Linked DNA regions of Drosophila melanogaster. The protein of the gene in region 1 interacts with the protein of each later gene in a pairwise test. Each region holds a gene or a part of one and is shown in the gene's direction. Other genes may lie near its edges. The genes, in order: cato, bun, CG33695 and sr.

Region 1 (3,738 bases):
ACACACTCAAACACACAAACGCGCGCATCCTTTTAGCAGCACTCCTGGTGTCCTGGTCATTGCTCCAGCTCGTTGGTGGGTCCGTGGGTCAGCTTGGCTCTCATGGAGCCGCAGACCATCATGCAGGCGAACAGGGACAGCTCCAGGACACGGCACATGCAGTAGGCCACCACATCCACCAGGTGCTCCACCACTCCCAAGTACAGACACATCCGTGGCTGGGTGCTTCGCTAGACCAGTGATTCCCTTACTTATTCCAGTTACTTTCGCGCTCAGCTGAGCTATCTATCGATGTGTAAGCTGGGTGCACTCCTATATCCTGATAAGCTTAAACCTCTAATGCTTAAGTTCACCGTGTTCACAGGCGACCAACTCTTTTCTTCAAATGATAACACTGCGCTGCTCGGCTCGTCATATATATTTAATCCTGTTGCTGTATCAGGACACGAAGCTCCTTGTCGTCCTCGTCTCGTGTTTCCCCACAAAACCGAATGGGAGCCGAGCACAAGCCGTCGAGAGAGAGAGAGATTTCCATGCGAGGAGTGTAATGATAACACGGAGACAATTATCTATTATATAGTATTAAAAATGTTTAAAATATATTCAAACATTAAAAAACACCTAAAATATAAATTTTCAGTTTAAACCATAAACTTATAACGGTTCTGAATGAGTGTTGAGTAAAAAGGTTATCCAAAAGTAAACCAAAAATTTTTGTACATCTTTTAGGATTTAACGAATACTTATACTAATAGTTAGTTAGACGTAGTGTCTAATATAATCATTGTATACTCAAAACATGAAAGCACGCTTTTCTTTAAAATAAGTGTTTATGCCAAAAAAAAGATAGTTTCGCTCAATGTGCAGTGTTGGTACATGCGCAAACTGGTCTTCAATCCAGAGCAACAGGAGCCAGAGATAAGGATTAAAAGTAAAGAATATTGAGAGCAAAGGAATATCATATTTAAGATATTCGGCCAGCAAAAAATATAAATGACTTTACAATAATCACATAAAGTGGAGAAGTATTTGTCAGATTTGGCACACATTTGATGAATTTTGGGAAAACTTATTTTTTAGTTAATGAAATAAATGAAATGCTTCCTTTCAAAATTAATTTTATTCAACATATTTACGAAGCATGTTTTACACTGAATAATTGGCGATTCGCTTTATGAAAAGAAGACATATTTGGTAGTGAAACAAAACATAATATATATGGTATGGTTATAGTAATAGTAAGATATTTTTGTGAAACATAAGGCAATTATCAAACGCATCAATAGACTATTTTTCATAGCCACTTAATAGTAAAGGAAAGATCTGTTCAATTCGAGTTAATAGTTTGATTCGACAACTGGCTAGACGGCAAATGTCGTGTGCCTGCCAAGGACTTCAAATTTCCAGGACCAAAGGCAACCACTGAGTGCCATGGGCATCGACCATATGTTGGTTCCTAACCGAAGTCAAAGTCGGGTCGGTGCAGCTCAGCACGGCACAGCAGAGTACAGCATATGGTCACTAGACGCGAGCCACAATGCAGTTCGCCAGCGGGTTAATTGATGGCCCATGCCAACCAGTACAGTAGCTCATCCTCGCGAGCTCCGAGCCCCCCACCCCTCCACACGCTCGTGTGCCGTTGAGCGTGAAAGTCACAAATTATGGGCGACAGAGGGAGAGGGAGAGAGAGAGAGGGGAAGATCCCATGGCATGATAGTACCAATTTGGCAAGATATGACGCGTGCCTGGCGCGAAAGAGATGGCAACAGGCGAAGTGTAGGCGTTTCACCACCGAGCGAAAGGGAGGGAAACATATCTAACCCCTAAGTCACCCCAGCTCCTCGGGGAGATCCTTTGGCCGGGCCATGGTAATAGCTGCGAGGATCCTGGGGCCAGGGGTCATTTGCGGGCCATTTACACAAACTTGGTCAGAACGGCGGTGAAAATATTTGTAGAATGCATCTCGCGGGGGTTGACCGTAGTCAAGTCTGGATCCGATCGGATCGTTTCAGTTGCAACGAAACTTTCAAGCCGCTCGGATCTGCAATGAGCTACTACTACTCGTCTGCCTCCGAGGAGGATGGCAGTTCCCAGTACCTGGGCAGTCCCAACTACAACTTGACCCAGTTGCCGCCAGTTTCTGGCCAGGATTACGGACAGGGGGCTTTCTTATCGCCGGAATGGCAATTCTTGGATGCCGCAGGCGGAACTCAAACGGAACTAGGACCCATCATGGAGGCGCAAGGACAGCACACCCAGCCGCAGACCAAACGGCGGAGTAACAGCTTCACAGGATCGGACGGTAGGAAGAGCAGTCCAGAGCAGACCAATCTCAGTCCCACGGTCCAGAAAAGGAGACGACAGGCTGCCAATGCGCGGGAAAGGAAGCGGATGAATGGATTGAATGCGGCTTTCGAGCGCCTAAGGGAAGTGGTGCCCGCTCCGTCCATTGACCAGAAATTGTCCAAGTTCGAGACTCTCCAGATGGCCCAGTCCTACATCCTGGCGCTGTGCGATCTTCTCAACAACGGGGACGTGGAAGTGGATGCCGCTGCATACACCATCTTCGGCGACAGCGATAGTGGATTTGGATTGAGCGGAGGATCCTTGTCATAGATGGATGATACTAGACTAAAGTTATGTGATTTTCTTCTTACTGTAGATTAAGTTAAATATGTAATGAAATAAATTGAAATGTTTAATTGAATGCTAAAAATAATTTCAATTTCAAAGGCATTATTCATGGAACGCATCGCTTGATTGTGAACCAAGTGTTCAATCCAAAATGAGCTACTCATCTAACCCTTTCTACCAATTATAACCAGCCCACTACTATTCACAGATCCCCAGATTCAATTGGCCATCAGATCGTTTGGCTACGCCTCAATGATTTCAAAAACGATCATAAATTAATTACTCAACAGTTCATTGATAGGCGTACTTCAAGTTTTGGTCTAACCCCGAACGATTCCGAAACTGCGAAGCCACCACAGTGGGCGGTGTAGCGTGACACCCCTGAACTCCTGGCCAAAACTCCTCTCATTGAATAAAAAAGGCAGCTGAGTCCTTCGGCTTCGGTTGGGTGCTGTTTTTTTTTTTTTATGACGAGAGGGCGAGTTTGTGTGAGGACATAACAGCTATGGATTGATCACCGATGTCCTTTTGGGTTTCGTAGGTGGCGTGGGTGGCACGGGCTTCACAACGGTATCTTCGTTGGGCACTGTGATGTGCTGCACCTCCACTTCGCCCTTGCTGAAGGAGTTTTTCGATGGCCGAAAGCCAGGATCCGGCGGATGCAGGACAATAACTTCTCGATTGTGATCGCTGAAGCTCAAGTTTCGAAAGGGATTGCTGGTGAGCAGCAGGGTTCTGTTCTCCTTCAGAATGGGAGCATTAGCTTTGTGGGATGGACGAAGTACTGGTCTCCTTGGCCTTGAAATCGGTCTGGTCATAAGAATGCGCCGCATCCTTCTGGGTGGATATAATGCTTCTCTTTCTCTGGCATCTGGCTTTTGAAGCACGGTGTTCCTGTGGAGATGCTCTTTGATGATGCCCAGCGCTGTGCTGGCCAGCACTGGTGGAATCCTAAAGGAGCCCAGTATGGAAAGGCCACCACTCGCCTGGGATTGCAGAGGTGGCTGGGATCGGGTCGCGGTCGCCGAATCGTCCCAGGACATGCTCTGAAAGCCGGAGCACTGCCTTGGGCAGTGTAGCTGCTTCACAGACTCCTGTCCTGGG
Region 2 (5,471 bases), on another chromosome or scaffold:
CTACACAGAAGAAAAAAATATTTATACTCCGAATCACAAATCGTAGAAATGAAAACTTCACAGGCAAAGCAATATACTATGTAACTATGTAAACTGTGTAATTGAAAAATTCACAGTCACAAAAAAGAATCTAGAACTTATTTTCGTTTTATCATAATCTGAAATAACATGAGTTATTATATATTATCTATTTTTCAATACAGAAAAATTAAAACAATTTCAAAAAAATATACATATGTAATTTTTTAACCTTTTTCGCTCAGTGTGTGCTTGACCAAATGGGCATCTCATGGAAATGACAGTTAAGCCCGCCAACGTTGGTCACCCCAATGAATGCCGGAGCCAGCATTTTCTTCCCCACGAATGCAATCAAATGGAAATTGTTAAAGAAAAGGAAAAAATGCCAGTGAGCACGATTGAGTGGATCGCAGGACTTTTGGCATTTCACAAGGGTGCAACGCATCGGTCTGCACTAATTACGCACCAAACATGTACGGCAAATCGTCAAACCTTTGAATGCCACAAGCGAAAAAAGGGGCAGTTTTTGGGGGGCGAAAAATGTTTGCCAAATGTTTTTCCTGCCTGCTGCAATTTAAATGAGACGTTGGCCAAATGCGAGGGTGTCGCCTGCAGTCGCTGTGTGAAAGTGGGCGGGGCGGGGCGGGGCTGGTCAGTGGAATTAATTCTAATCCCGAACACGTTCCGTTGCGAACGAAGTGGTCAGTTGCGATATACTATATAAATATATATATAATTGTATATACATGCATATGTACATATATAGAACTCCTTAGTGGAGTTTCAATTGGTGGAGGGTGCGTCGATCATTAGCGTGATTTCTTTCCGCTTTGACAAGAAAATCAGAACGCTTCACTGAACTCCATCAGGACGAAAAAAAAAAGAAAAAAGGAATGTCTTAGTCGAATGGTGTGACTATTAGATACCCGTTAGCCAGCTTAAGAAAGTTGGTAAGAGTTGAATATATTTAAAGTCTTAACTGATTAAAGTTAGCAAGCAGAGTATCAGCAAGGTACTTAATTAAAAGAAGAACCAAAGAGTTAAATAAATGCAAGAAGGTAACAAGCAGCAGTGCGACTATCAGATACCTGTTACTCCACAAAACTTTCTTGAGAAGTCTTAGCGCTAGAACAGGAAATGCTCAAAAGCAGTTACATAATTACTGGCAATAATTTATGTTTATTTTTAAGCTTTAATAAACATCAATAGAAAAATTTAATAGAAAAAATAGAAAACTGAGCGCCAGTTCTATGTATCTATTTTGTTTATAAAAACAAGTAAAGTATACAAATTTAAGCATTGTTAAGGTATTAATTTTCTTAATGATTCAAATTATTTGTTACATATATTTTTATAAAGATTTACCAATCGAATTTTAGTCGTTTGAATTCGCTTAGATTCGTTGAAATTCGCTTCTAAATCAAAGCAAAGAAGCGAACCAATGTAAAATATATGTAAATGTAAAATTGTTGGTTCGGTACTTCGACGCGGGATCTGTTTAACGATTTTTTCAGTGATTTCGACACAAAAAGAGTAACTACTGCAGTTATTTTGCTAATAAAAAATTTAACTATATTATATGATAATTATAGATGATATGATATTAAATATAAATATAATTAAAATTTATAATAGTCCGATTTTTGACCAGAACTTATTATCGACATTATATAAGCCCATTATATACAAAAATGATTCCTAAAACAATCAAATAAAAGTAGAGTTGTGCCACTCGCCTTAGTATAACTTAGTTCTAAAGTATATGTTAATTTTATGTTAAATTCATTTTCGAATAATGGAAAAACGAGCGCCAATGTTGCGCTAGGGATTTCTAAACGATATGTAAACGATATCGTATATCGCACGACAATCGCCTGCGTGTAGAACTTAACAATCGATAGTTGTATTTAGCACAGAACCAAACCAAAAAATGCTAAAATATCAGTTTTGAACAGTATAGTGTGACCGCTATATGTGCCAAAAATCCCGTATTCAGTATTTGGTATTATTATTTGATATTATATTTTTATTGGCATTTTGAGTTGGGACAAAAACGCAAGGCAAGTTGTTGGTCTTTTTCGCTGTCTGCAGACGGATAAAAAGTAAAAGAACGCAAATCGAACGCGCCGCGAACGTATTGCAAAATCGCTTAACTCGCGGCGCCCTTGAAAACGACGAGGAAAAGCGAAAAAAGGCTGCGAGAGCTAGCGCAAAATCGAAGAAAAAACTGTGTATGTGCGTGCGTGTGAGTGTATGAGTGTGACGTGTGCGTCGCTGTGTGTGTGAGCGAGCTGGCATGCAGATGTAGAGATGTGTGTGCGCTGCTGCTGCGGCTGTGTGTGCGTGTAAATTGAATAAGAAAACGGAGCACAAATGGCACTGATGGAAAATTTATATGTGCGCTGAAAAATTAATTTATTTGCAAAAAGCCAAAGAGCTGCGAAAAGTAAAGTGACAAGCGGAGAGATGTGCAAAATCGAAAGAACGAAAAATTGTGGATTGCCGACTCTCTGCAGATTTGAAGAGAGTGGCAGCGAAAGAGAGACATAGAGAGAGAGTTTGTGTATGTGTGGGTGTGAGCCGCCTTTGCCAGGAAAACTAAAAAGAAAAAAATTCCCTGGCGTTAAAATTTGCACAAAAAATGTTGAATTCGATTGTTTGCTTTCCGCAGTTCGGCGTTTCGCTTTTTTTTTTTGCACAAAACTTTTTTCGCCAATTTTTCATGCACGCTTTTTCGTTTATTTAATTCCTCTCTCTCTCTCTCCATCTCTCTCTCACTCATTTTTTCGCTCTCCGAATCGACTCTCTCGCAGTGCTCTCCGCTTTTTGCTTGTGCACAGCCAAGTGTCAAAACTGTCATTTACCTTCCTTTTGTCCGATTAGCAAAACGCAACGAAAAACTAATATCCCATCCAAATTAAATTCGTGGCCGTTCGCTTGTTTTAAGTTTATTGTTTTACGCCAAGAAACAAGTAATTTTAAATTGTTTGACATACGCGTAAGTGTGGTAAAAATGTAAAAGAGAGGCCTTTGCCTCTTAGTGCAACAAATCGATCAGAAAGTAACCAATAAAAAAGCAAAGCAAATCGAAACATGTTTCAAAACGAAGGAAAAATCAGAGAAATTCAATGAAACAAAAGTGCAAAACAGTCGCGTAATTGTTGGTGTGTGTGTGTGTGTGTGTGTCAGCGTGTGTGCCCATCCTTTTGGTCTGCTTCTTCACTTTCGCTCAGTTGTTGTTGCAGCTTGCACTTTGTACCTTAGATTTTTCCCATTTCCTCTTTCCATTCCCATTTCTCCAAAACAGCTGGCCAAGCATTTGATTAACTCCAATATTCCTTCGTTTTCTACTGTATTTTATGTGCCATTTACCTTTGTTTATAATGTCAGCTGGCCCGGCATTGTTGTTTATTTTCTGTTCTGCTTCGCCTTGATTGTTTAGTCAAGTGTTAGTTTTGTTTTTGTGCCATTTTGCAATTTTCTGCTTATTTGCCATCCGATATTATGGGGTAATTTTTTTTTCATATGTGATTTTTAGTAGAAATTCATATAAAAAATTGTGTGTTCTGTTTGGTTAACGGTAACTCGAATTACACACAAGTGTTTAGAATTATGGATACGTATTTAATAACAGCGGTGTGCAATAATAGTAGATTTGCAAAAACCAACCAGCATTTCTGAGAATATTAATTTCTAGTTTATGAACTAAAATATGAAATTCACTCTGTATGAGTACCCTTTTTATACAAACTTGAAATGAATAAATCTGATTAGCTTTGAATGCCCTTGAACCAATCTACAATATCTTCACGATCATAATGATCATCCCTTTTAACGCATCTCCGATTTCAAAGCAAAACAAAATAAACCTCAGGCCAGATCGGTTTTCTTGTCAAGCCGCGTGGCAAATTTTTCTGCTTACCATGCACCATTTTGTAACTATAACTGGACGATATATTTGCGTTTAGGAATCGGATACACTTCAGATTTCTGCCAACTCTTTGATACAACCGATGGCACAAACTCAGAAAGGTTTGGATTGTTTTGCGAGTTACTTTCATAGGTATCGGTATCAAGAAGTTGCAAGAAATAAGCTGGGGTTTCTTGAACAGGGATCTATCTGCATAAAAGAAATGCGTGTGCAGACAGTCACGTCGACCAAACCAGAATTCAATCAGTTCATTTTTTTTTGTAATGTAGGAATTTCGGGGTTGATTGCTAGCGGAAAAGTACCAATCTTTCAACAACTGGTTAACTTTTTGAATGAAACCATCATAAAAAAATAACTAATTATTTTATCTAGGGTATTGTCACTTTCGGTACATTTAACACCTATTTGCACCAATTTTCTTTGATGTCTTGTTGCTTTATTTACATTCTGCGACTCAATTCAATTGAGAAATTATATTCGATTTCAATTGTATCTGAGTATCTCATGGATGCATTGTCATTGTAATCTCTAGCTTGTTGTTGTTCCTTTTGCAGCCGCCTCCTCCTCATCTTCGTCGCTGCTCTTTTCTCGTTTGATAAACATTTTCATTGCCTTCTCTCTGCATACATCGCTCTCTCTCGCTCTTTCGGGTTCTTTTACTTCCTCCTACAACGCCTTCGTTTTTCTTTTCCTTTTCCCTTGCCATTTTTTTTGCATTGTGAATCATTTCCTTGCGGAAAGGAAAAGAGCGAAGAAAAGGTGGGAAGTGCCTGTGGGTGAAAGACAGGAAAGGAAAGTCACTGATTGAAAAGTTATTAACTCGGTTGAATTTTCATTATGCATTATTTAACACCCTGGTGTCCTTAAAGTTCAGTTTTATATCTGTCAGCAAGGTATAAATTTTTAGAGGATTTTTTAGAGGATAACCCATTTATTTTTTGTTTCTATTTTTTGCTCCTAAAGGCCTTTTTTGTTATATCCCATTTTCGTTTTTGTTTTTACCGATAGTCTTAAAGTTTAGTAGGGCTTGATAAGGTTTTGATGGTTTAGCTGAGAAAGCAGCAGTGCATTTTATTACCGTATTTTGTATTGGCAATATATCCTGGCTTACCTTTGATGCACTGCGAACAATCGGGACACCTTTCCTTTTGCTTTTCATCTTCTTCGGCTGCTGCTATCATCATCAATATTGATTACCGGCAGCTGTCCGAGAGCGGGAGAGTGCGAGCGAGCAGCCGCTCTCCTTTTGCGGTTTGTTTGGTATGCGGCCCCCACCCCGTCCCGCCCACTTGTAGGCGCCCACGTTGGTAGGAAGGAGCATGTGGATGTAGATGCGGTTGCGGAGGGGCCAACAGGCTGCTCTCGCTCTCTTGCAGCTCCCGCTCTCCGATTGCAATTTTCTCAACGCGCATTCGCTCGCTCACACTCACTCTCTCTCGCTCGCGCTTGCCTCTTTCTGTACTATCTGTTGTAGTTGCTTTTCATTACATTTGTTGTTGTTGGCTTGCCATCGATTTTATGC
Region 3 (4,735 bases), on another chromosome or scaffold:
ATATGTCTGCCCAGGAAGGTCAGTTTAAACAAAAGATTGCTGATATTAAGGGTTCAGTAGACGAGCTTCAGATTAAACTAAAATCTCTGCAAGAAGTAAGAGACCATCTAGAGTCTAGAAATGAAGAGCTTAAAAGAAAGCTAAAAGATGCTCAGGAACTACAGAACATGGTGGATAAGGAGCGAAAGCTCAATTCCTCTCTACGAGAAGATTTTGACAAACTGGAACAAACCAAACTCGATCTCGAAGAGCAGCTTCGAGCCAAGAAAGTAGAAATCGATCGCCGATCCAAGGAGCTTGGCGAAGTGACCAAGGATTGCGAAAATATACGATCCGATCTGGTAAGTTTTATTTATTTAACGCCTTCACTTTTGTATTCTATTATATTTTATTCTATACCAGGAAGCTCAAACTAATGATTTCCTAAAAGAAAGGGAAACTTTGAACTTGACTATATCCGATCTTCGGTTGCATAATGAGCAATTGCTAGAAACCTCGAAAAATTATCTATCAGACATAACAGCAGCAAATAATTTAAATCTCGAAATGAAGAAGAATCTTCACGATCTCACAAAAGAGTGCAAGAGCTTACGTTCCGATCTGGTAATAATTAATCTGGTAATCTATCTGGTTGATTACAATATAGGTAATTAAAATTTTTCAGCAATCCAAAGAAGAATATTTCCAAACGCAAAAGCAACTGTTGGATGAAACAATTTCTAATCTAAAGGAGGAAAACCGCAAGATGGAGGAAAAGTTGAGTTCGGGTAACAAGGCGCTCAAAGAGGATTGCGAAAAGCTCCGTTCAACATTGGTAATATTAGACTTGTCTTTGTAGGTTATTCGGTCGCTAATGAAATATTTATTTAGGAATCAAAGGAACTTATACTGCAACAGAATAAACAAGAGTTAGAGGAAAGGCTGACTGTTATTAATGAGAAGAATGGGAAAAACGCACTACTTGACGCCCAGTTGAAATCCAATGAAACCGCCTTTACATCACTGCGAAAGGCATGGATTAAGCAAAGTTTAGCCATAGAAGCGGCCAATAAAAGAAGCCTCGAGATGGAACAGAAGGTTGATAAACGTACGAGGGAGTACGAAGAACTACGATCAACTCTGGTAGAATAATTGCAATCAAAGGCTCTTATAAAATAGCTTAATGTTTTCTCTTTAAATCGCCTAGAAAACCAGGGAAATCAACTTTCGATCGGAGAAGGAACGCATGGACGGCACCATCTCTAGCCTGTTAGAAGACAAGCGTAATCTTGAGGAGAAGTTGTGCACAGTCACCGAGCTCCTGGCTAAGCTAAAGCGCGAACTGCCGGCTTTACACACGCAAAAAGTGAACGGAGGCGATGTGTCCATTGAGTTGAATTCCTCGAATGGATCGCCGACTCCTGCAGCTGTTCCAGCAACAAAGAAGCCCCTGGACTGCAATTCCGCTGAATGTGTGCCAAAGGTACGTATGATCTTCTAAATTTCAAGCATGTAATATTTTTTTTATTTCTCTCGTAAAGAAATCCAGCAGCCTAGAGACTGCGGAGCGGAAGAATCGACGGATGACGGCCTACGATGAGAACCGTAAGCAGTTTTGCTGAAACGACTTACGTGACGGCGGAACTACGACCGTTCCTTTAGGTAAGTTAAGGTTTGCTTGGCCGCGAAATCGTCTAAACTTTATGTGGTTTTAACTAATATTGCAGGTGGCAATTGCCACTGCGAGCAGCGGAGCTGCAAACAAAGACTGAGTTCGGACTGGAGGCAAAACGTTGAGTTCAACGATGATAAAAAAGATGATTAATGTTATCCAAGTATTAGGGATTTCTTTTGTTAGGTGTTATCTTGCAAACGGTGGAATTCCACATCATAAAGTTTTCTATTTATATTTACGCCCTAAGTATTTGTCAAATACTATCAATACAAAAATTACAAAAACAATCGTGATCGTAGTATTTAAATTTAAATCTGTATTATGCTGGTTTTTGTTTAATAGTTAAATTCGATAAATAGTTAAATATTGTTAATTAAGAAATGTTTCCTTCATCATGTGTAATAATATTTGGTTCATATGTATAGCATTGAATAAACTATTTACATTTTCTTAATGTTAAAATCAGATTCGCATAAGTTGCTGGTTCTAATAATAAAAGACATAAATTACTTAAATGTAAATCTAAATAAGCATAACGCTTCTTGTTTGAATTCCCGATTGCACCAATCGATAAGTCGATAGTAGCGCAAATACATATTCTAGTGTTGTGCATTGGAAAATTGACGGCCGCTTGAGTGTTGTGTACGGCGTCAGTGTTGAATAGCTGCGGACGCAAAACTACGTAAAATTACGACAAAAAAACAGCGCCCCGCGAAAAAAGGCCATGAACTCGGCAATCAAGGTAGGTTCAGCCGCTCCACCACATCCGCCGGCAGCTCCGACCGCGTTGATCCCGTCGCCAGCGCCTCCGCGCGTTGCAAGCGAGAAAAAGGCGGCGCGGGAGAGAGTCGAGAGTCATTCGTTTGTCTCACTCCTGCGAGTGGGAAATTTGTTGTTCCACCGTGAGTGGGCCGGCGGGCGGTGGGCAGGGGCGGTGCGTTTGTTTTGAATTTGCACGCGGTAACAACAAACTGACTCCGGATGCAAATCCGCATGCACTTGCAGGTGGGGGAGATATTCACGGCCGCCGGACAGGCGTTCAGCAGACTGGGCGATCTAACCATGCAGCTGCATCCCAATGCGGAGTCGCCATCGGGGTAAGTTGATTCTATGCGGTGGAGTCGCGAGTTTTGTGGACACTAATCGGAGTGTTTCTGTGTGCCTTGTTCCCTCGCCACGGCTGCAGGAAGTGGACGGACGAGGAGATCGACATGCTGCACTCGTCCATAATGCGCTTCTCCGACGACCTGACCAAGATCAGCCTAAGCATCAAGAACCGCACCGTGTAAGTGATCCTGTGCTCCTGGCGAGGGAACCGGCTGCCCAGTGTGTACGTGCTAGTTTTAATTGACCTTCCCCATTGCAGTTCTCAGATCCGCCAGGCGCTGAAGAAGAAGGCCTTCGAGGACGCCGGCATTCCCGCCAAGCAAGTGCCCGTCCAGCAGGTGCAACACGTTCTCCAGACGCTGCCACAACAGCAGCCGCAGCAGCCCCTTCAGCAGCCACCTCCTCAAGTATTCAAGTCACAGCCAATCGTGCAGCACGTACAGCTGGTGGCGCAGCCAAAGCAGATCATCCTGCATCCACAGTCTAATACAACTACGACGGGCACGACGGTGACTGTTAAGCAGTACCAGCAGATGCAGAAGGCTGCGGCATTAGCGGCAGCCCAGGCTGCAGCCTCGACGGCCAACAACACGCCCACCATCACGGAGAACATCATTATCCAGCAGCCCACTTCGACTACGGCGACAGTGGTGCAGCAGCCACATATGGTGTCCACCTGCTCGTCGACGCAGATCGTGGTGCCCGTTGTGTCGGCAGTGTCCACTGTTCCAACAGTACTCTCGCCCACGGTGGTGATTGCCGACGATGTGGTTAGCACCTCCAATCCTCCAGCGGCAGCGGCGACAGTAGGATCGCCAGCAGGGGCGCCAGCAGGCTTAAAGTGCGGACCAGACGTGTCCATGACCCTCAATCGCATCAATGTCCAGGAGAACGAGGTGGACGTGGAGGAGTGCCTGCCCGCAGAGGTGGTCAAGCTGGATTTTGTCAGCGAGGAGGTGGCCGGGTGAGGTTCGAGCCCTCGGAACGGGCTGGACTTCTTCTACTAGATCTCCGGCCGCAGAACGAATCACGTAACTTGGAACAGAACCGCTACAAATCCAGATCGAGAACTCTTAAGCAAAAAGGTTGAGATGCCGCCCTAGCCCTAAGTCTAAACTGTTAAGTGTTGTCATATTTGATATACCCTGAAATCACCTTGTTCCGGGCCCCGGATGACAAATGAATTGTGCGATGTGGAGGACGAGTCTGTGGATCGCCAGCCACAGAGCGTAGATATTAATTGCGGAGCGTATATGCGCCGCCTAGACTTAAATTTACGCAAGACACAATAGTGCAAAGTACATAACGACGATCGTGTAAGTTGAGAGTGAATAAACGAGCATTATTTTAAGATTCGGCGATCTCTGGGATTTTATTGGAGTTAGGAAAGCCCAAGGAGCGTAGAAATTTAGTTATTTGCAATGGCTTCTACAATCTCATTGCTGTAATTTGTACTTCATACTTTTATTTTGATCAGACTGTATTATAAAAGCATATATATAATTATATTTTTAAAGCACCCAATGCAAACTCAATTGTGTTTCTAATGGTCCGCTAAATTATATTGCATTTTATCTTTATTTGAATGTACCCATCCAATTTATGGGACCTATTTTATAAACCTTTCCTTTTAAATGCACACCACGTATTTTAAATTCATCCAATTATTGTACAATGAAGTCTCGAGAAATTTCGAATGCATTTTCAAATTTCGTTCTGCTCATAATTGCGCTCGCAACCCATACATTGCCATTCGCATGTCGGATTTCAAATCCGCACTTTCAGAATTTCCAAAGCGGGTAGCAAGAAGAAGAGCGGCTAATAAAGATACGGATACATCAACAACAACAGTCGGAAATCCATTGTTCCCCACAAAATGAGACTTCGTTTGCAAGTCCTGGTGGCCCTGTTAACCTGCTCGTCCATTTCCGTCTCACTGGCCTACAAACCGGTGGTCATACTCCATGGAATTCT
Region 4 (5,669 bases), on another chromosome or scaffold:
CGTTTAATGAGCAACCCCTTCTTAGCCAACCAGTCGACAACAGAAGCCACAAACGATGTCGATGTCGACGTAGCCCTAGGGTATTCATTTAATCCGTCAGTTTGCAGACTTAAGAGTCTCTCATTAATTCATTAAAAGGTGTTAAAAACGGAAGCCATCGTCAGTTGTTGTGAAGGACCTAACATGGTCAATCAAGCGCCAAAATGATTGGAATTGCAAACGTTTTCAATAATATAATTATCAAATTAAGGTGATGGAAAGTTGTTAGCTGGATTTTAATTACTAATATTTCATCATTTTCAAACAGAATGCAGTTCAAAACGTACGAGCACTTCACGTATTATTATTCATAGATTATTCATAGTTGTAGTTTGTCGGAATACAACGTGGTGTATCTTGTATCTTAGATTTTGTATCTTAATATTGGGTTTTTGGGCCATACTATTGTCTCTAGTGCCATTTCTCAAATTTATTTTCCTAACAAAGTATAAGCCTTATAAGGTGGCGAGCTAATTGTGCTGGCCTTTGTTATTACTATTGCATGTGTCACATTCTGAATGAGCAATTACAGTTAATAAGAGTACAAATGTCAAATGTCCGATGTGGGCGATTCGGCTAAGTATAATTAATTTGACTTGGGACTTGGGTTTCGCTCAGTGTAAGACACTTGAACTAATTGACAAGTTTCCATATATAAGCATTTTGTGAATGAATGAATTCGAGTTTTCAGTTGTGAAGGGGGGGGGGGGGGTAAAATATGAATATGATTAGAAGCCAAAGTGCGAGTGTGTGTGTGTGTGTGTCTGTGTAAGGTGAGCTTGGTGGGCGTTTTTAACTCGGCTCTCCGTCTCTTTCTAGCCGCGTTTCGCTGTCTCTTTTCGAGTTTTCATTCACAATCTAATGCCGGGCTTGATCCACACCCACATTATTTAAAGTGGAGCAGTGCACAGAGGGGCTCTGTCCTTGTCTCTTTCTCTTCCAGTAGCTCCATCTCTTTCCGCTTCCTTTCTCCACCTGCACCCTTTCTATCGCTCTGTCTCTTTCTGCGAGCACAGCTGCAGTATTTTGCAATTCAATTTGCAGTCAGCTGAAAGAGCGAGAGGTAAAAGTATGAATTTATCAATGAAACCACCCACGTGACCCCTTTGTATATACACATGTGTGTGTGTGTGTATGTGTGTTTGGCGTTTTTTTTGTGTGTGGGTGTGCGTTTCTGTGGGTGCTGTTGCCTCTAAAGCTTTTTTCTAAGGGGGCCCAAGCTTTTTTCAGCCAATTAGCTTTCGTTGGTGTTATTTTTAGCTGACTAGCTTTCCAGCAAAAGCTTTCAGGATTGATAGACGAATTTGGATTTCGATTCCAGGAAAACCCTTAAAGTTTACTGCATCCGTAAAAATCCTGGCTAAAATATGTATGTACATATGTATGTCTGTTTGCACAAGTGCATTGAATGACGCAGATTCTACAAGTATCCCTATGAAAGGGTTTTGCACACGTGGAGGGGGTTTTGATTCTACTAAGAGGGTTGCGATCAAGAGTGTTGGCTAAATGTGTGGGCTTTTAGACCGAGGAAAGCCCACACAACCACTCGTAGAACTTGGCACGTTCCGGTGCACTGAAAACAATTTAAGATGACTTAAATGAAGATTATTGATAAATAAATAATTCCTATTTACAAAACACTTCTTCTAATGTCAATGAAAATATTACATATATTGGTTTACTAACAGCTGAAGAGGATTTAGAAATACCAATTATTTAGTTTAACTAAGATGAAGGCACGCAGGACATTTTTGACACTCACACTTCTTTTCAGTGTAGGAAAACGGCTTAAGAGTAATCCAAAGGTGTTACAGCCTTATGCTAGGCGATAGAAGCTCAGCGAGAGAGAAAAGCACTTTGAGGCGTTGCGGGGGTTGTGTGTGTGGTTTGTGGTGTTTGTTGTTTGTTGTTCGTTGTTCGTTGCCCCACCGGCAATCCCCCGGTCATGAGTGCGACGAGGACGGCTAGCTTAGCCCGTCCGCATGTACAGTTGTGCCCACACACGGCAGCAAGAACAACAACAACAACACTCAGACGAGGCATCTCAACTGGGCGACAGATCTCTAAGTAAGGCGATGATCAGCCCACGACTGCCACACACTCACACACTGCCATCGCAAACGGATACAGATACAAAGCCACGTACAGGTACAGATACAGTGAAACCGAGGCAAAACAGTCAAGGCAGCGCTGCAAAGCGAAGCAAACCGTATTTTTTAATACCGCCGACAGTCGGACGACGGATTGAATCGCAAAAAAAAAACGCATCGCAACCGGAAGGAAATTATCGTCTAATAAGTTGAGCACAATAAATTCGAGAATAAAAAAAAGAGCAGGGGATCTTATAGCCCCGATTTACGCGCCCTGTGCATGAGATCGTTAAGCGAATTAAGCCGAAAGATAGCCCGTAGCCCAATATCTCGACTAGCCCATCAAATTGCGTGTTTCAAATCAAAATTGCATAATCTGCACCGAAGAAGCCGGGAACTAGTTGCCAACTCTTCGCTAGCCAACGAGATCGCGATTACAGCCGGTGGATATCTTTCGCGTAATCGCAGTAGCTACGTCGCTTCCTTTGACTTGGCCACGTTCTATACAGCTGCGCATCTTATCTTATGCTTGGCCATCTGAAGTTTCAGAGTCGCAGTTGGCAGTAGTTGTTGCAGTTGCAATCGCGGTTGCGGTTTATAGTGAGTCGCGCGTGCGTTCGCCTTTTTGGCCCGCCTCGTAATTAATTACAAACGCAGTCGCGCGATCCGCAATCCGCGCGACTGTTGGACTACAGATGAAAATCCCAACGATCCTGCCTATTTACGCGCCCAAATCTTGATGCCCTAGCCAGACCAGCTTTCTGGGCGCTTGCGTGCTCTGTTGTCGCCGACTTGCCTCCGAATCGACGACATCTGATTGCCTTTTTATAGCTGGTAAGTAGTAGTAGTAGTAGACCCTGCCTATATTGCCCAGCCATCCACCATCGACATCTGAACAAGTATATTAATGGTTACAGCGGGAAAGGGGTGATTGTCGGTTTGGTTATGGCCTCTAATGGCCTTTAATTGGGGCGAAAGCCAAATATAAGGCTTTATTACATATATATGATGGGGAAAATTGAAGCGGGGCCGAATTTATTACGGTCATGTTACATTAGTTTTAATTTATTAATAAATTGTACGAATATTGCCCGAAAACATATATTCGTAAATCCAAATTATTTTATTGGATGATTTCTTAAAATAATTCAATAAAGGTAATTAACATAAAATATTTTGTGATTTTCATAAATTCCTATTTCACAAAACCATAAAGGTTTTTAGCCATTAGCTAAACCAGATTTGTTTTCTATTTAATTATTAAATATAAAAATTCATTCAATATTTGTAGTCTCATTGAAAAACCTTACATTTTTAATGATGAATGAGATGGAAAAGATTACACATCTTCGAAATTTCTGTACAAACCGAATCGAATGAGATCATTTTGCATAAAATTATTTACACATTCCTTAATATTTAGGAGCTGTTTTTGCCAAATACCATTTGCAGATAGACTCCATTTGCATTTCGAAAGAAACCTGGTTTTTTTATGAAGCCGTCGAATGTTCGAGAAGTCAATTGAATTTCGTGGTTTACCTCCATTCAATATGAATGGAAATAATAACTAAAATTAAAACTAATAAAAATATACAAAGATAAGGCTTAATATAATGATTTATGAAACTTTTACAACATATTGGTTGTTTTAAGTATACTTTTGTTGGCCTCTTGTTTATCTTTTTTAATGGAAAACTCAAAGAACAGCCTTGCAACAACTTCTTTTTGGCTCAAACACAAGCTATTTGACTGAATGACGAATTGCTGGTTATGGCCTAAAATATGAAGGACGTTAGTATGCGTAGCCCACGCGATACATATGTATTTGCACTCCTGCAGAGCGACACGTGCGTAAAACAAATCAATTAGCGCTGCCACATGAAAAGGTTAAAAGTCACGTACACGTGTTCCGTGTGCGAATGTGCGAGGGGCACAGCGCGGGGAATGCTGCTCATATGTATAAGGTCAACCGGCAATTGGTAGCCGCAAATTTTCTGCAACAAGTTGAAATTGCCTGGCTAATTAAACACGCAGGTGTAACGAATCCAGCCAAAGCTTCCGGCCAAATAATGCGGTTTAAATGGAGTCAGGAGCAGCTGACATTTGAAGCGACTCCCCCACAAAGGGGCAGAGAAACGGAAGGCAGGACCTTCTCCTGTGAATACCGAAATATCAAAGTTCAACCGGATAACAGGGCGAGCTTCTTTGGGTTCAGCTGCTCTATTCGCTTAGCGGAAAATCAGGAAAATTTATGAATGAACTTCTAGTTGAGCGGACACATCAACGGGAGCTTTTTTCATTGATAAGCTCAATTCAGTTTTTCGCTTTCCATTCCATTCATATATTTATCCGAATGTGACCGGCAACCTTTGGTCTGCCATCGATTGGCGGGCGGTGGGTTGGCCAAAGAGCAACAGGAGCCTCCAGCCGCAGGACATCCCACACACGTGGCAGACGTTTCGGGAAAAGGGCAAGGCACCAGCATCCTGTATCCATTCTCCCGAGACTCTTCTCGAGTGGAAAATGCTAGTAGCTTCTGGCTTCCTTCTGCACAGTGGTTCAAATCAGTCTTCAAATGTGTACAAAAGCTTTGGGTACCTATCAGCTATTAACTATTTCAAATCGTGTAATATAGTGTATATAATATAATAAATAGGGTTTATAGTGTAATTGTTTTAACTTTTCAATTTAGTAAATATTTATGACCACACTGCGTATGATTAATATAAAGCAATTGATTAATTTCTCACATTATAATATTTTGAATAATAGAAAGTATTCACAACTTTGCCTTACACATTAACATTTAGAGATTTTCTTTTTTCCCGAATACATTTATTCTAACAGTATTCATGGGCAGTATTAGCCCACTGTGCCGTATCTGCCATTTAGCTGTGCCCCTGCCCTTAACTTCATCCTCATCTTCTAGTCAATAATATCTGACAGTGTGGGCGTTTAATCGCATCTATTAGCATCCCAGTCGAGCATTTTCTTACACGCCCACGCTGGAAATTATTTCCACTAGGAAAAGTGAAGTAGAAGTGGAGCACATTTGGCGAAATGAAGGCAGGCAATCAACAGGTCCAGCTTGGATAACCTTATTGTTCTCGTTTTCCCAGCCAACGAAAATGTCCCTTCGGTTTTTCCACCTTCCAGGAAGCGCTGTCCCCTCGTTATTATTATTATTAATATTATTATTTTTATTATTGCTCATTTGTTTCAGCGCTAGAGTAATGGAGCAGAACAGCACAGGATGGGACTTCCATTCCACTTGTGTAGCTGCCTTTTGATTGATGCTCGCAACCTCTAACCTTTAAATGTCATCGCAGGGACGAAGCTTTAGCTTCCACTGTGCAACTCTAATTGCCGTTTTGTTGATGGAGCGAACGGGGGCGTTTTAGCATTTAGCGTTTTGCATGTTTTTCGCTTTTTTTTTTTTGTTTGGTCCTTCTAAAGTTCGGTATTTGGGCCCTTCGAGTGTTTGGTTTTCGTGGAATTCCACAACTTTTTGCCAAATGTCAGTTGATAAGTGATAAGTTG

The links.
Region 2: the proteins of cato (region 1) and bun interact in a two-hybrid assay, tested with the Drosophila melanogaster proteins (one large-scale study listed by BioGRID).
Region 3: the proteins of cato (region 1) and CG33695 interact in a two-hybrid assay, tested with the Drosophila melanogaster proteins (one large-scale study listed by BioGRID).
Region 4: the proteins of cato (region 1) and sr interact in a two-hybrid assay, tested with the Drosophila melanogaster proteins (one large-scale study listed by BioGRID).

What each region holds. Positions count from the first base shown.
Region 1 is NT_033778.4:16,276,667-16,280,404, reverse strand, and holds cato (cousin of atonal), read left to right. Parts: upstream 1-2,008; 5' UTR 2,009-2,046; coding exon 2,047-2,616; 3' UTR 2,617-2,720; downstream 2,721-3,738. Other genes in the region: prim (primacord), read right to left, coding at 57-212; CG33017 (uncharacterized protein), read right to left, coding at 3,138-3,738.
Region 2 is NT_033779.5:12,543,188-12,548,658, reverse strand, and holds the start of bun (bunched), read left to right. Parts: upstream 1-2,047; 5' UTR 2,048-2,249; exon of another isoform or gene 2,250-3,016; intron 3,017-4,315; exon of another isoform or gene 4,316-4,719; intron 4,720-5,060; exon of another isoform or gene 5,061-5,471. UniProt on the Drosophila melanogaster protein: Probable transcription factor required for peripheral nervous system morphogenesis, eye development and oogenesis.
Region 3 is NT_033779.5:11,275,735-11,280,469, forward strand, and holds CG33695 (uncharacterized protein), read left to right. Parts: upstream 1-2,286; 5' UTR 2,287-2,378; coding exon 2,379-2,396; intron 2,397-2,416; exon of another isoform or gene 2,417-2,635; coding exon of another isoform or gene 2,636-2,659; coding exon 2,660-2,751; intron 2,752-2,840; coding exon 2,841-2,939; intron 2,940-3,020; coding exon 3,021-3,729; 3' UTR 3,730-4,113; downstream 4,114-4,735. Other genes in the region: cana (CENP-ana), read left to right, coding at 1-341, 403-603, 665-814, 871-1,122, 1,187-1,462, 1,521-1,601; Ppt2 (Palmitoyl-protein thioesterase 2), read left to right, coding at 4,638-4,735.
Region 4 is NT_033777.3:18,088,492-18,094,160, forward strand, and holds the start of sr (stripe), read left to right. Parts: upstream 1-2,311; 5' UTR 2,312-2,963; intron 2,964-5,669.